Linked DNA regions of Medicago truncatula. The protein of the gene in region 3 interacts with the protein of the main gene of each other region in a pairwise test. Links are inferred from orthologs where the notes say so. Each region holds a gene or a part of one and is shown on either strand. Other genes may lie near its edges.

The links.
Region 1: the proteins of transcription factor TCP19 (region 3) and homeotic protein knotted-1 interact in binary tests that used the Arabidopsis thaliana proteins (3 or more experiments, as listed by UniProt). The link is inferred for Medicago truncatula from reciprocal best matches to the Arabidopsis thaliana genes AT5G51910 and KNAT1.
Region 2: the proteins of transcription factor TCP19 (region 3) and abscisic acid receptor PYL2 interact in binary tests that used the Arabidopsis thaliana proteins (3 or more experiments, as listed by UniProt). The link is inferred for Medicago truncatula from reciprocal best matches to the Arabidopsis thaliana genes AT5G51910 and PYL2.

What each region holds. Positions count from the first base shown.
Region 1 is NC_053042.1:4,715,210-4,720,849, forward strand, and holds the start of homeotic protein knotted-1, read left to right. Parts: upstream 1-2,557; 5' UTR 2,558-3,024; coding exon 3,025-3,447; intron 3,448-3,694; coding exon 3,695-3,817; intron 3,818-4,017; coding exon 4,018-4,150; intron 4,151-5,640. UniProt on the Arabidopsis thaliana protein: May play a role in meristem function, and may be involved in maintaining cells in an undifferentiated, meristematic state, and its expression disappears at the same time the shoot apex undergoes the transition from vegetative to reproductive development.
Region 2 is NC_053042.1:4,458,952-4,463,259, reverse strand, and holds abscisic acid receptor PYL2, read right to left. Parts: upstream 2,371-4,308; 5' UTR 2,287-2,370; coding exon 1,666-2,286; 3' UTR 1,557-1,665; downstream 1-1,556. UniProt on the Arabidopsis thaliana protein: Receptor for abscisic acid (ABA) required for ABA-mediated responses such as stomatal closure and germination inhibition. Inhibits the activity of group-A protein phosphatases type 2C (PP2Cs) when activated by ABA. Can be activated by both (-)-ABA and (+)-ABA.
Region 3 is NC_053042.1:49,609,202-49,614,146, reverse strand, and holds transcription factor TCP19, read right to left. Parts: upstream 3,436-4,945; 5' UTR 3,300-3,435; exon of another isoform or gene 3,293-3,299; intron 3,275-3,292; exon of another isoform or gene 3,199-3,274; 5' UTR 3,140-3,198; intron 3,012-3,139; 5' UTR 3,011-3,011; coding exon 1,997-3,010; 3' UTR 1,955-1,996; exon of another isoform or gene 1,906-1,954; 3' UTR 1,828-1,905; downstream 1-1,827. Other genes in the region: uncharacterized protein, read left to right, coding at 3,687-3,963, 4,055-4,159, 4,301-4,368.

The DNA.
Region 1 (5,640 bases), about 45 Mb from region 3:
TTAGATATTTTATTAACAATATTTTATTGAAATTTTGCGTTTAAATTACAAAAGATATTTTATATAAATTTTTTGATATAAATAAAAAATTATAAGGATAAATATTTGTGACTTTTAAATGTAACAAACTCAACAAACCATATTTATATTTTTCAATGACAACAATAATATAAAAAATATAACATTTTTTATATCCTTTTTAATAACACCAACAACATAATATTATTATATCAAAATTTATTTAAGAGTTTAATTGGAATAGCAAAAAAAGCAGACCAAAATCTCCCCGAAACCCACTATTTTCTTTATATATAGTATAGATAAATTTCATGGTCAGTGAAGTTTATTGGTTTTTGTGGTGGTTATGTTTTTTTGTAGGTTTTCTTGGTTTTCAAATACACGGAGTGTGGTTTGTTTAAAGTGCGGTTACATGGGTTTTTGGTAGATTTGATGATTATTTGGAGAGGTTTTTTAACGGTTCGGAGTGTTCTTTTGGTTTGCTCGTAAAAATTTATATTTGATACATGAGTGTTTATTTGAGTGTTCCACATATATAGAGACACTTTCCCTTTGTATGTTGCTCTTTAAGTCTTCTAGCTTAGCATTCCCTGTGCTTGCTAGGATTCTTTGTGTTTTAAATAATTTTCATTTTAGCTTCTTCAAAAAAAAGATATAGGAAAATTTGTGTATGGGTATAATTGGAATTTAAAAAATTCAGCCTAAAATCTATATCTCCTTCGTATATAATATTGTACCTATAGCAGTGGAATCTTTTCTATTTTTATGGAATTTTATTATTTTATGAGGGTTAGACATCTTCATAAAGTATAAATCCTTAGATGAGAATTCATGAGGCACACGAGATATTAAAGTTAAATGATATATTCATGGCGTTCATAATCTAGTATGAAGGTTATGGAGTAATCGAACATTGTAGCGAGTGGAGCTTTCTTCGCCATTGGGTTTATGTCACGTCATTAAGTGCCCTGCAATCGCCTTGACTCGCCATGGCAAGGCTATTGCTCGCTATGGGAAGGTTTTGTTTTCCTGAATTCCTGAGTTTCTGGAACTGCTACTTCCACTCACTTCTTGGCTCCCCATGGCGAGTTGGTACGCCATGGCCTCGTTGTGGCTTGCTTGAGACTTCTGAAAACTGGATTTTCTGGAACTCCTCGCTGCAAGCTCGATTTTAGCTCGCCATGGCGAGTTAGCTCGCTCCTTCCTCACTGTGGCAAGGCTTGGACTTATGAAATTGTAAACTTTCTAACTTAGCTCGCCTTGTCCTCGCCCTGTGCTCGCTATGGCGAGCTAACCTTTGCAAATCTTCAAGTTTCTTTGTTGAATTCTTGTCTTGTTCATCATTTTCCTGCACAATGGAATAAAGTAAGGTATAAAAAGCATAAATAGACATTTGTGCATAAATTCTTGGCATTTCCATGAATAACTTGTAAAACAAGTAATCAAAAGTGCTTAATATATAACATAAATTTACTACTTTCTACCACTTATCAATTCACTGTTGTAGTGAAACATAAATTTATTGAGGGTCTTAGTTATTGTTCATGATGTTTTTGGGAACAATGTTACATTTTTTTAATATTTAAAGGTTTCTTCAAGACAAAAGACTTGATATCTAAAATAATTGATTACATACAGTTTTGAGACAAAAGAGTTTGTTTACATACAGTTTTGAGTAGCAATATTTTATTACTTATTTGATTTGATGACAAGCTTTATGACAATCTTATTATTGTTGATCTAAATCAATTAAAAAAAATTAAACAAAATGATAAAATCATAGTATAAACAAGAAAGTACATTATAAAAAAATTATCATAAAATAATTATACAAATATCATATTTTTATAACAATACAGTAGAGGTGTGAAAGTATAATCAAGATGCATATATTAAAATTAAATTATAATTATTTTAACAATATATATGCACCCCACATGACACAACTTAATAGTTTCGTTTGAACTATGTAATAAACAATTCTAGAAAAAATCTATGTAATAAAGAATAGGAAATGCTAACAAGTGCCCTCAAAGTAATGGTTAAGGAAGTAAATAATCTCCTATTGAAATTTGTGCATTCAACTCCTTAAAAGTTTAAAAAGTGATATTTTCAACTTAATTTTATTTTTTGATTTCCTTAACCATTATCCTGCGGGCACTAATTAAGGAAGCAATTGATCAAGAACCCCGAAAAGGAAAATCAATTAGGAGACAAACTACAGAGAATTAATAGCAAAGAAAACTAACTTTAGCAAATAAAGCAAAGAAATTAAAAAAATATAAACCTAGCTACACTACACTGCATTTGGCTTTTAAAATATTTAAATGAGTCGCGCTAACCATTGCTCTCAAAGCAATAATTATAGAAGCTTTGCATTAGTTTCAACAACATTTTAATTTTTAAAAAGTTAAATTTATCACTTTTTACTATTTTCCAATGTTATATTTTTATTTTTATTTCCTTATCCAATGTTCCGAAGGCAATGATTAACATTCTCTAATTTAAATATATCTTCATATTTATTTCTATCAACCAAACAAAGTCTTGTCAACCACCCCCATCTCCAAGACATTGCCGGTTTGGACTAAAGCCACCACTCTCTCCTCTCTCTCTAATCTTTCTCTTCTTCGTACAACAACACATCATGTGAGAGTTTTGCTGGTTTCTACTTGCTCCACCCTGTCAATGCCCAAAATCTATAAGCTCCAATCATCTTCACTCATCTCTCAACCTCTTAAACTTTTGGCTTTTGAAACTTCTTGGACCCCTTCACCCCAACACACACAAAATTACACTTGTGTTGTCCCTAAATTTCATTCATTATATAAACAATCTCAAAGATGGTTTTCATTAGGGTTTCAATTAAGTTCTTGACCTTTCCATAATTTTTATTACTCTATAAAACAACAAAGTAGGGTTTTTTCATTTTCCCTATATTTTGAGAATTGAGTTGAGTGAGAGAGTTAAACATATATGATATTTGGTTTCTTAAATTTGAGTTAAATGGAGGAATACACTAATAATCCAAATCCAAATCCAAATTCAAGGCCAAATTTCTTATACTCCATTGCTAGTGGAAACAACCAACACCAACACCAACACAATCATCAACATAATCAGATTCCAATGAACAACTTTCATGGATCAGACAATTGTTTTCAGTCTGATCAAGTACAACATCAACAACACTCTGCTGTGAAAACTGAAGCAAATAGTACTTCACAACTTCACACTCCGATTTTTCATTACCCAGCTTTAATGAGAACAAATATTATTCCACACACCAATATTATGCATAACCATCATCATCAAGGAGGAGGAGGGAGTCCAAGCAGTTCTAATGTTGAAGCTGAAGCTATAAAAGCCAAAATCATTGCTCATCCTCAATATTCTAGTCTTTTACAAGCTTACATGGATTGTCAAAAGGTCACTAATTAATTATTATTTTTATTCATTTTCATCATTATAACAATTTATTTTTCTTAACCCTTCCCTTCAAGATAAGTAAAATACTATAATCAATAATTAATGATTGTTTCAGTCAAGAATTAAATTTGGACTCCCACCATCATGATAACAATTTAAATAAGCATACCCCATTTTTTATATATATATTTTTAATTTTTATATTAATTAATTGCTATCTCTCTCTAATTAAACAAATTATATGTAGATTGGAGCTCCACCGGAAGTGGTGGCTCGTTTGGTTGCGTCTAGGCAAGAATTTGAAGCACGGCAAAGATCTTCAGTTAACTCGAGAGAAACTTCTAAAGATCCAGAACTAGACCAATTCATGGTACAAGGGGGTATTTTTTGTTTTAGTTTATGTTTTTTTTCTTTCTAGAATTAAAATTATTTTCGTTGGGTTTTTATCTTGATAATCAATAAGTTTAAATTATGTCGGCAAAAATCTAGTTGATTACTGTATCTATATTTATAGAACTTATAGATTGTGGTTTTGGACGTTGAAATGGTGTTTATGTTTATGTTTAACAGGAAGCATATTATGATATGCTTGTGAAGTATAGAGAGGAATTAACAAGGCCTATACAAGAGGCTATGGATTTCATGAGAAGAATAGAAACACAGCTAAATACACTTTGCAATGGACCCCTTCGGATCTTCCCTGGTGAGTAGTAGTAGTACTTTATCTTTTCTCTTAATATATTCAATTCAATATTCATTCTCAATAGTTTTGTTTTATTATATTACTAATATCACTGAAATTAAAACGAGGTCATTAATTAATTCTGGATTATTGACTATTAAGAGTAATGTGACTGATGTGTGAGTGACGGGTTGTGAAAGCTCTTGAAATTCGTAAACTCGAGTGTTTCTGAACATAGCCTGGAAATTTTGACCAAAAATCTCACATGCTTTCAAATCGTGGGAGCAGAAGGGTAGGGGACCCATATAACTGAAGATGATATTTCTTCATCATCTACAGAACCCTAATCGCTAGTACTTTCTAAATATGATATTTTTTTTTATTTTTATTTTTTTTATAAAAAATATCACATTTACTGGTATGTTTCTAGAGGCTGTATTTGTTCATACTTCACGACTCCAGACGAATTTTTTACTATTTCATTTTTTATTGTTGCTAAAACCCAAATCCACACGTTGGCGTCTCCATGTTAGGCTTCTATTTCCCAAGCTAGCTCCTGAGTTCTGACTGACAATTATTCTTCTAGGGTTTCCATGTTAATCAATGTATTTTACTGACTAAAACTCTCGTGTTTATCGGTTTCGAAGGATTCATTGGGTTTTGTGGAATTACTACTCTTTCTCATCATTACATTGGTCAGTTTTTCGGCCGTCTTACCGCTAATGCCGTTTTAATCACTTTTTAATTTTCTCTTTTCTTTTGCATTCTTTCTTAAAAAACACATTGGATGCCGTTCCAATCCAACCCCAACATAGGAGTACTAGTAGTGTTAGGAGTTTTTAGTGCCATTTTTTTTTTTTTTTTTTTTGTAGAAAGGAGTTTTTAGTGCGATTGTGCCTTTGTTTTTAAGTAAATGCTAACTTGAGCCTTCAAGGCACATGTTAAGATACTTATTATAAAAATACACATATTAAAAGGTGTGCATTCAACTTCTTAAAAATTGTCATATTGTGTTTTCCGATGTAAAATTGTTCTTTTTAAGTTGCTTAACATGAATCCAATACAAACATAGTCACTACTTTTGGTTTCTTTAACAAGTGTCCTAAGAACATCTACAATGGATCCTCAATTTTGAGTTCTTAAACGGGTTCCACGTGAACACATCACTATTTTAATAACCGTACTTAATAAGTATTGAGTCACTCCAATGGAGTCCCTCTGACAAAAGGTCTAAATTGATCCAACCACTAACTCTTCATCATTTATATTCCAACAATATAATGATTATTTTAATAAAAAGCAGCGTGGGATCCACTTAAGAATGAGAGTCTTAATTCTCGAGTCTTAGGTACCGGATCTTAAATAGTGAAGACATCACTATTGTGGATTGTCTAAAGGCACTTATTAGCATAACCCTTTATTTTAATCATTTATCTATTATTCTCTTTCATTTAAATCATTTATCCAACATTCTCATCCATATAAAAAAACGAAATACACGTAATGATATC
Region 2 (4,308 bases), about 45 Mb from region 3:
ATCAAATCCAACCTATCATAGACTAGGTCGTAAGTTCTTGTAAACCACCTAACCTATTCCCTTCTCTACGGACAATATACCTCAACAAAATATTGCGGATTTGAAGTTGGAATAATACTTACACATATACACATATCAATTAGAGTGATGATACATGTACCACCCTATGTGGCAATACACCCTTTACACCCACACAAAATTCTGACACGTGGCATATTGGACCCCACACAAATAGAAGATAAAGTGTGGTTGTGAGATGAACTTACCAAAATATCTCTAATACATGGGGTGTACAATGAAGTGTAGGAATAAAAGAGTGTTCATGTATCATTTTTCTATCAATTAAGTGTTTCTTTAATTTGTATGCATTTACCAAATATTAAAAAACAAAAAAGAGTAACATTATGCCAAAGCCGAAATAAAGTTATGAGCTGTAGTATGATTATATTATATGTATGAAGGAAAAAACTGAATACACCAACTGTCAAGTTGCTTCTTGCCGCCTTTCAAATAACATTAAACTATATAAAAAAGAACATAATATTGTTCATATACGTTGTTCAAGTCCCAATAATATAAGAGAGTTATATATGAACTTTTCTAGCCATATATTTTCACACTTCACATGTTTCTCAAGGTTGATCCCAAAGTCATCACGAGATTTTCTCAGTTCTTGTTTCTCCAATTGCCGTTGAATTAATTAAGGGTTTGACATTTATTTAAGCCATACAAAAATATGCTTTTATTTTAACTCAACTACCATCATCCACCCACGGTTGACACAAAATAGTTTTTTTTTTCTTTTTTTTCACTCCCACTTTAAACAAATAGATCCAAAATTGACCATTGTTTTTTGCCAATAAAATTGACCATTTCTGAACTTTTAATTTCATGTCTAATTACTACTAGAAAAGCCTAACAATCAAGAAATCCATTTCAATAATATGCAACCAAATTAAACCGCTTGTTATTATAATCATGTTTACAAACTACACAAACTTAACTGATATCAAAATCAAATGCCTCAACTTGTACATATTTCTTAAAAAAAAAGTCTCAACTTGTATATATGCTTAAACACGCCACTAGCAAAATTTATCATCATTACCTTAAACCAAGCATATTACTTAACGAAGACGAAAATGAAAAATCTTATTAAATATTTAATTAGGACTCATTCCACGTCAAGCAAACTTAGAATCTATATCAATATTCCTGTTAGATTCTAACCAATTACAAACGTAAAGGGTTTAACCGCTACACATTCATAGTTTAAATTAAAATTGCACGACATTTAGAACTGAAGTAAAGGCTTTAACGATACATCGTATCGATAATTACATTTACTAATTAGCATGCTCTCATTATATAAAGTATTATTGACAATTATAATCATCAAATCTTTAAAATATTTTACATTAATTTTAAGTGTTTAAAACAAAAGATTGTACATTAAAATTAACCTCCATATAACTTGATTGGTAAAATAAAAGATATATCAATATTATTATTTGATGATTTGAAGAAGATTATATAAGAAGAATGAAAATGAAACATGCATTATAATACTTAATACTAATTAGTAACAACTATTGAACTTGAACATAAAGAGTCCATAAATGGATGATCCTAAAATAAACTAAAACATCAAATATTGATTATATATTATTGTCCATGCATGGAAGAACATGAACTCATAGCAACAACTCCAAGTTTCTGAAGATTAAGCTTGACAACAGTGTCAACAAACATCTTGGTATCTTCTTCAGTGTTCCCATGTGGAATATCAACAATATAAGATTCCAAAACAATAGTATAAACCTTACCTTCATTGTTGACAAACTCATTAACCGAAGTAACCGAACGATAGTTTTGAAGACGATGTTCACCACCAACAACTCTAAAACTTATTACATGTTTTTCATCATCCAAAATCTCTAATCTTTCGGTACTTGTCGAAGCCGGTAAACCCGAAACAACGGTAACTTCTCTAATGCTACCAACGTTTCCATCACCTTTCATGTTGCAACCTTTGATGAAATGTTTGTATTTTTGTGGATTCTCAAAGCTTCTAACATATGGCCACACTATGCTTGATGGTGCTTCTATTTTGTAGGTTATGATTGAAGTGCATGTGTTTGAGGTTGGTTCTAATATGTGGTATTTTTTTATGATTGGTTCGAGTTCTTTGTATTCTTCTTCTGTTAGACCTTGAATATTATGCACCGAAGCCATTTTGTGTGTGTTTTTCTTATTGCTTTGGGGGGTGTCAAAAGCAAATATCATTCAAGAAGAAGAAGAAGAAGAAAAGTAGTGGACAAAAAACATTATATGCAAAAACAAAGCATGAAGATGTGAACACTTACATATTTATATTAATGTTTGGTGTTTGTTATTTTTCTTGTTTTAGACGGATATGCCCTTGACTGTTCATTTTTATTAATTTTATAATGCAAAAACTATGTACGTCACTAAGGAATCAGACCCCTGGGTTAATTTGTTTATTTATAGTTTACAATTTTCCATAGATATTTTTAGTAAAAAGTGTGTATATGTGTTTGTGGTTCTTTTTTAATGTATATAATATATTTTATTTAATTTGCTTACCTATTAAGTAAGGGAGAGGATTCATAGGGTGGAATTTTTCTAGCTTTAGCTGCATGAGGAAAGGTGTTGTCTCTACTCTAACATTTTTTTAAACATAAAAATATATACTCTCCAAATATTGCATATTTTTTGGAGCTTATTCGGTGGTACTTTTGAGGGTTGTATATATTTTTTTATTTTTTCTGTGGTCTCGTTATTATACATAACGACAAGCAATTTTTTAATAACTACTTGTTGTGCGTCATGTTGACCACTACTTTTCCATTCATTCTTACATTTCTTTTTGTATAAGTGATGAGATAGGTTTAGGATAAGTCAAAAATATGGATTACTTTAATGATATTAATATTATTATTACTACTACATTTTTTTAATATTATTTATGCTTTTTTGTTTATACCATATTACCATGCATGCCCATACCTATAGGTAGTGGTAGATTTATATATATATTTTTTGAATAAAGTGGTAGATTTATATTTGTAGTAGCATTATAACCGAACTATATATTTTTTTTTATAGTATATCGTATTTACTATTGGTTTTGGTGGAGCATATAGAAAATATGCATGGCTTTTCAGAAAGGATGGAGATTGTGATTTTAATGCAAGAGTAAGGGTAAGATTGGATATATAATAAGATGAGAAATAAGAAGAAGAAATAGTCGCAATCGTTGAAAAGGGCAAGTTGGATATTCACGAATCATGTGAAGGCTCTAACAAACTGTCCGTGTGATCTAAACTTCACTTTGCAGCATAGTTTTCTATCAAAGCAAATAAAGTAAGGGTACCAAAATGAGTGGACAATGGACCAACCATATTAATCATTCAATAAAAAAAAGATTAATTATAAAATATGTATACTAGTTGGATATTATTGTGGTCCAAATTCAATCCGATTTGAAAATTCACATATATAGATAGATTGGGTCAATTTATTGGCTCAAAAATATTTTAATTTTTATAATTGGTCATCTAAGTTATATTTATATGTATATGGTAGATCTAGCACATTGACTTTTGTTTTAGTATTTGTTGGTTGTTAATGCATTCATTGCATTTAATTTTTTTATTTCTATTATTATTATTTTTTTTTTGAAGAATTTATTATTATTATTATTATTATTGTAAAGTTAAATAGACTCTTAGTTTATGTAAAATAAGCAAAAATTTGGTTTTGGTTATTTTTTTAATAGTTTTTATAGCATTAAATTTTATAAATGTAGCTTTTGATTCCACCACCATGTTGCATTCATTAACTACTGTCATCCTTTTGTCAAAAAAATAAATAAATTAACTACTGTCATCCTAGGTTATGTTGAGTAACATATCCCATTATTCTTCTATTTATTTCTTCTTTGTTCAATTTGTCAAAAAAAAAAAAAAAACTTCTTTGTATATATTGCATTATATTTTACAATGTTATTGACATGCTTTCTATAGAGTCACCCAGCACTACTAAAGAAATATTAATTTCTTTTTGCAATAACAAACATGTTATCAATATTGTGTCGGGAGTCTTATGTGCCGATCGCTTTTGATTCGAGTTCGGGAGTAAGTTTGTGACTCAGGTCCTTTTAGGCTGTTGTGATGTCTCCTCCGATAGACCGGATCTTGAGTGGTGGTCGAAGCTGAACGTTTGAAGCAAAATCACTATCGGGTGCCTAATTGATCATTGTTGGCGGTGTTGGTTCTTTGAGGA
Region 3 (4,945 bases):
GCATACCTTTACTTTATTGATTTCACCACTTATATATAAGTACCTTGAGAAGGACAAAATATTGGTCCACCCACAAACATAACAGCAAAGTCGACACGTGTACTGGGGCCAGCTTGGTTCCACAACACGAGAGGGTCCCAAAAAATCATAGGGGCACGTGCCATAATCCAGCAATCACGTGACCAAATCTCGTGGCCCAAGTTCAGCCACTAAACATGCTCCACGGACCCTTCCCTTTCCCCACCCACATTTTTGGGGCCCACAAACATCACGTGCTGATAGAAACTCACGTGACCTTTCTAAGATCCCATTTTTCTAATGCCACGCACACTGCTAGGTAGCCCAAACCTCACACCGTTTTAAGAATTATCGGATAATTATAAACGACTTCGCACGTGTAAACTGGACCCCGCACGGTGGGACGTTGGACCCACTGGCACTACCTTTGACTCAAAAATTCAATTTTCTTTTTGCACTGCCTACTTCCCCAAACTTGAGGTTATTTATCTACGTTTTTTTCAATATAAAATAAGAATTCACATTTTTATCGATGATATAAGATCATTGTTTAATAGAAAATATAAACAAAGTCCGTGTAAATTTAACTCAGTTAGTAGATATATGGATTGAGGTTTAACTTGACCAAAAAAGAAAACATGCTAATTTAATATAAAAAAAACCTTTTTTTCATATTTTTTCTTACAATCTGTTATCATTTTCATTTCAAAAATATTAAATTTCTTCATCTCCTTTATTTGATAGTATGTGATATTTATCACATTTGTTTTAAAATTGAATTTTACTTGTCATTATGGATAAATTATCCTCAATTCAACAAGAAATAATGCAGACCTCACTGATTTTTTCTTCAATCAATTTCCATTTTCATCTAAAAGAACAACAAACTCTTCCATTTCCTTCATTTAATATATAATTTTCATCTTATTTGTTCAGAATTGTATCACACTTGTCTATAACTTCATCTTATTCATTTTCCATGCTCACGATGACGTTTTTTTTTTCTTCCCGTTATTAGTGGTTTTTACATTTGCATTTTGAAAAACAAGTTTTATTTTATTTTTTATTCTGAATCAATTTATGTATTTTTTTTTGGGTTAATTAAGTAAATAGTCCCTATAAATATTCAGAATTTTGTTTTTAGTCCCTACAAAATAAAATCATACTTTTTAGTCCCTATAAAAAATTTCATCAACATTTTTAGTTCCTATAAAATTTTTCCATCAGCATTTTTAGTCCCTGTAAAAATTTTCATCAAGATTTTTGGTCCCTAAAATACTTAAGGAAAATGTCACAGGGACTAAAAAGTGTGATTTTATTTTGTAGGGACTAAAAACAAAACTGTGAATATTTATAAGGACTAAAAACTTAATAAACCCTTTTTTTCTATAATATTTTTAAAAAATGATCATTTCAATTTGTATATTTTAAAAAAGTTTAGATGGTGGCACACCAAAGAACATACTTAAAATTCAATAATTATTAACAAATGCATTTACATCAATGATTAATGTCTCCTTCAAAAAAAAAAAAAATCAATGATTAATGTCACAACTGAATTTCTTTTCTCTCTTTCACCACACTTTTTTGTTTGTTTGTACACTTTGACCAATATCGCCCCAAATATTATATAAGTTGAACCCACAATAAATATATAAAGTGACTATTTGACAATTTTTGTTAGAATTTTGATTATTTTTTACTCTCAATAATAAATATGAAAAATGACCATAATAAATATTAAAGGCAGAAATAATAAAATTTATAAGATAAATAGACAAACAAAAAAGATTTCTTTAAAAACAAAAATTCAAGACGTGTTCTTTCGCATTGGCCAAAAACCAAAAAGACAAAATTCAGATAGACACAAGCTATCTCTGCTTTTCTGCTCCAATTTTCAAAAAAAAAAAAAAAGAAGATATTGACTAGCTTTTCTAACTTCTAAAGTCTAAGCACATTTTTCTACCAACTTAAAGCTTCAATTTGAAGAGGGAGATGATTCCAAATTTGCAGAAGAACAACCCATAAACTGCAGCTCTTTCTTATCAAAAATATCCAAAGAAAAATCTCTTAGCATCTGAGTATTTGTAGCAGAGGATGAAGAAGTAGTAGCAGAACAACTAGTTGAAGTTGCTGAACTCAAACTAGGAGCCAAAGTAGATGAAGCATTAGAATTTGCATAAGCAGTAGCAGCATTTGAAGGTTCTTGTGGCATTTGCATAGCAGAAACAAAATCAGAAATAGGTCTTGTTTGCACATTGAAAAATGGTGCTGCAGGAATAGCCCAAAACTGTGGCTGATTCATTAGAGTTGAATTTGGGAACATGAAAAATGGTCCTGTTGTATTAGACCCAACACCGTTACTTACAACAGGCCATAATGGAACTAAACCACCACCATTTTCACCACTACCACCGCCACTGGAGGTGGCGGCGGCACCGTATGCGGTTTGAGCAATTGGTGCTAATCCCGAACACATTGAAACTTGATCATTCAAGTCAACAAACTCACTGTTTGAAGCTCTTCTTCTTCTCTTCACCGGAGCATCTTCACCGTCTGGTCTCGCCGGAGATGATGTTGGAATCTTTAACGTACCTCCGACGGAAACAGCAATGGCTGGCACCGTTCCGGTGCCAGTTGCTTCAATGATAGAAGGTTCAGCTTGTTCTAACAACCACCGGATTGTTTCTCCGTCGGATTTGTGACCTAGCTCCCTCGTCAGTTGAAAGATTCTGGCGGCGCATGTCGCCGGAATCCTGATTCTCCGACCACGTCCTTCCACCTTCGTGTGACGGTCTTTCGATGACCTCTTCGCCGCCGCCACTGTCATCGTTTGAACCGGCACCGGAATAAGGCTGTTGTTTTCCGTTTCCGTTAGCTCTTCTTTCATTAACGCCGCCGCAGGCTCCGTCGTCTCCGACGGAGATACTTCAGTACTGTCAGTTTTGTTTTCTTCACATAAAACATCGCCGCCGTTAGGGTTCACTTCCATCCTAAACAAAAATTAACAAATAAAAATTTAACAAAGACCCATTAAGGAATGATCAAAACCCAGATGAAAAAAAAAAGAAAAAGATTTCAAATTTAAGAAAAGAAAAAAATCATTTTTTTTGGGGCCTACTTTGTTTTGCAGAGAAACAGAGTTTTTGATACGTTGACTGTGTTTGAATCTTTCAGGCACTGCAAAAGATTAGAAAGACTAATTGAGAATTCGAAGAGGTTTTTGTTAATAAAAAATAAAAAAAAAAAGATAATTGTGTTGATTGAGAGAAACAACAAACCCTAACAATGGTGGAGAGCCCCACATATCCGTGTGGAAGAGAGGGTCCCTCAGGATCAGTATTTATTTGCACAATGAAATAGGATTAATGGCTGGATATACTTTTTACATTAGATGAATGGATGGGATGATGCCACGCAGTTACCTCTTAGTTTTGCTCCTATTTTCCATTTCAAAATAAAAAGTATAATTCATAGTCAACAGTCGTAGATTTCTTCTTAATGGATAAAAAGGAATGTTGTTGAAAAATTTAAATGATACAAATAATCAATATATTTGAAAAGAAGGAAAATTATATTTCTTAATTGGGATGGTGTTTGGAGGCTGCGGGTTCCTCCGAAGGTTAAAAATTTAATATGGAGAATGTGCAGAGATTGTTTGCCGACACATGTTGGATTTTAAGATAAAGCAGTGCATTGCTCTACTAATTGTGTCACTTGCAACAAACCGTTTGAAAACCTTAACGATGTTATTTTCAATTGTTCTTTTGTTGCGCAGGTGTGGCATAGAAGCGAAATTGGCGATACGATTAATAGTGTGCACAACAACACATCTTCGGCAACAGATGCAATATTATCTACCATTTAGGAACTTTCGCGAGACAATTCCCAAAGGTTTGCAGCTCTCTTGTGGAGTTTATGGAAGCACTACAATCTATAGCTACGGTAAGAAGTCACCAAATAGTACCAGAAGTTATTGATCGTGCTTTTCATTTAATCGAAGACTGGAGTTTGGCTAACACCCCTCATATGGCAGCTAAGATGTCGCATGTGCTTCCACAACACACGCTTACTACATTTACCTCAAGTGCATCTAGTGTTGTTTTCTCTCCCACCATTCAGAACAACGAAGTTACTTCAGGTACGACTGAAATTTGTTGGCAAAGACCACAACATGGTCGTTTCTAATGTAACATAGATGCCTTTATTTCGAATCAATTCAATAGAACAAGGATATGTAGTTCTATTCGCAATGACGAATGTGTTTTTGTGCTTGCTAAAGTGATCCCGGTTACCCATGTGTGTCCTATTCCAGTGGGGGGAAGCCTTGGGTCTCTTTTATTCGCATGAATGGATGGGTTACATGGGTTTTGACAATATTAATTTCTCTTTGGATTCCAAGACTGATACTGATGCGTTTAATGGTCATCGCGTTAACATCATAGAGTTTGCCCAGGTTCTCTCTACATGCCGCCGTCTCTTCAACACCAAGTTTACCAACTCTAAGGTCGAGTTTACTCGGAGACAAGTCAATGAGGAAGCTCACCATTTAGCAGGGGTGGCCGCATTATTAGCCAGTCCCATTATTTATACTAATGTACTTCGTTATATTGAACAAATTATTGGTAATGAAATGATATAAACATCATTCTTTTAAAAAAATGCTAGTGATTGTATAAAAAAGAAGACAAATGTTAGTAATCAATTTCTTAAGAAAAGATAAATGTTTTTTGAAATAGAATTGATAGTAGCAGATATTGAGCCCAAAATCTTATATATATATATATATATATATATATATATATATATATATATATATATATATATTGATTTTTTCTAACTCAAATCACCGAGTTATAGACAAAAGAAGAATAAAATTGGTTTGTTTTAACAAAAAATCATGTTTTAAATCCACTTGAGTTAGCAT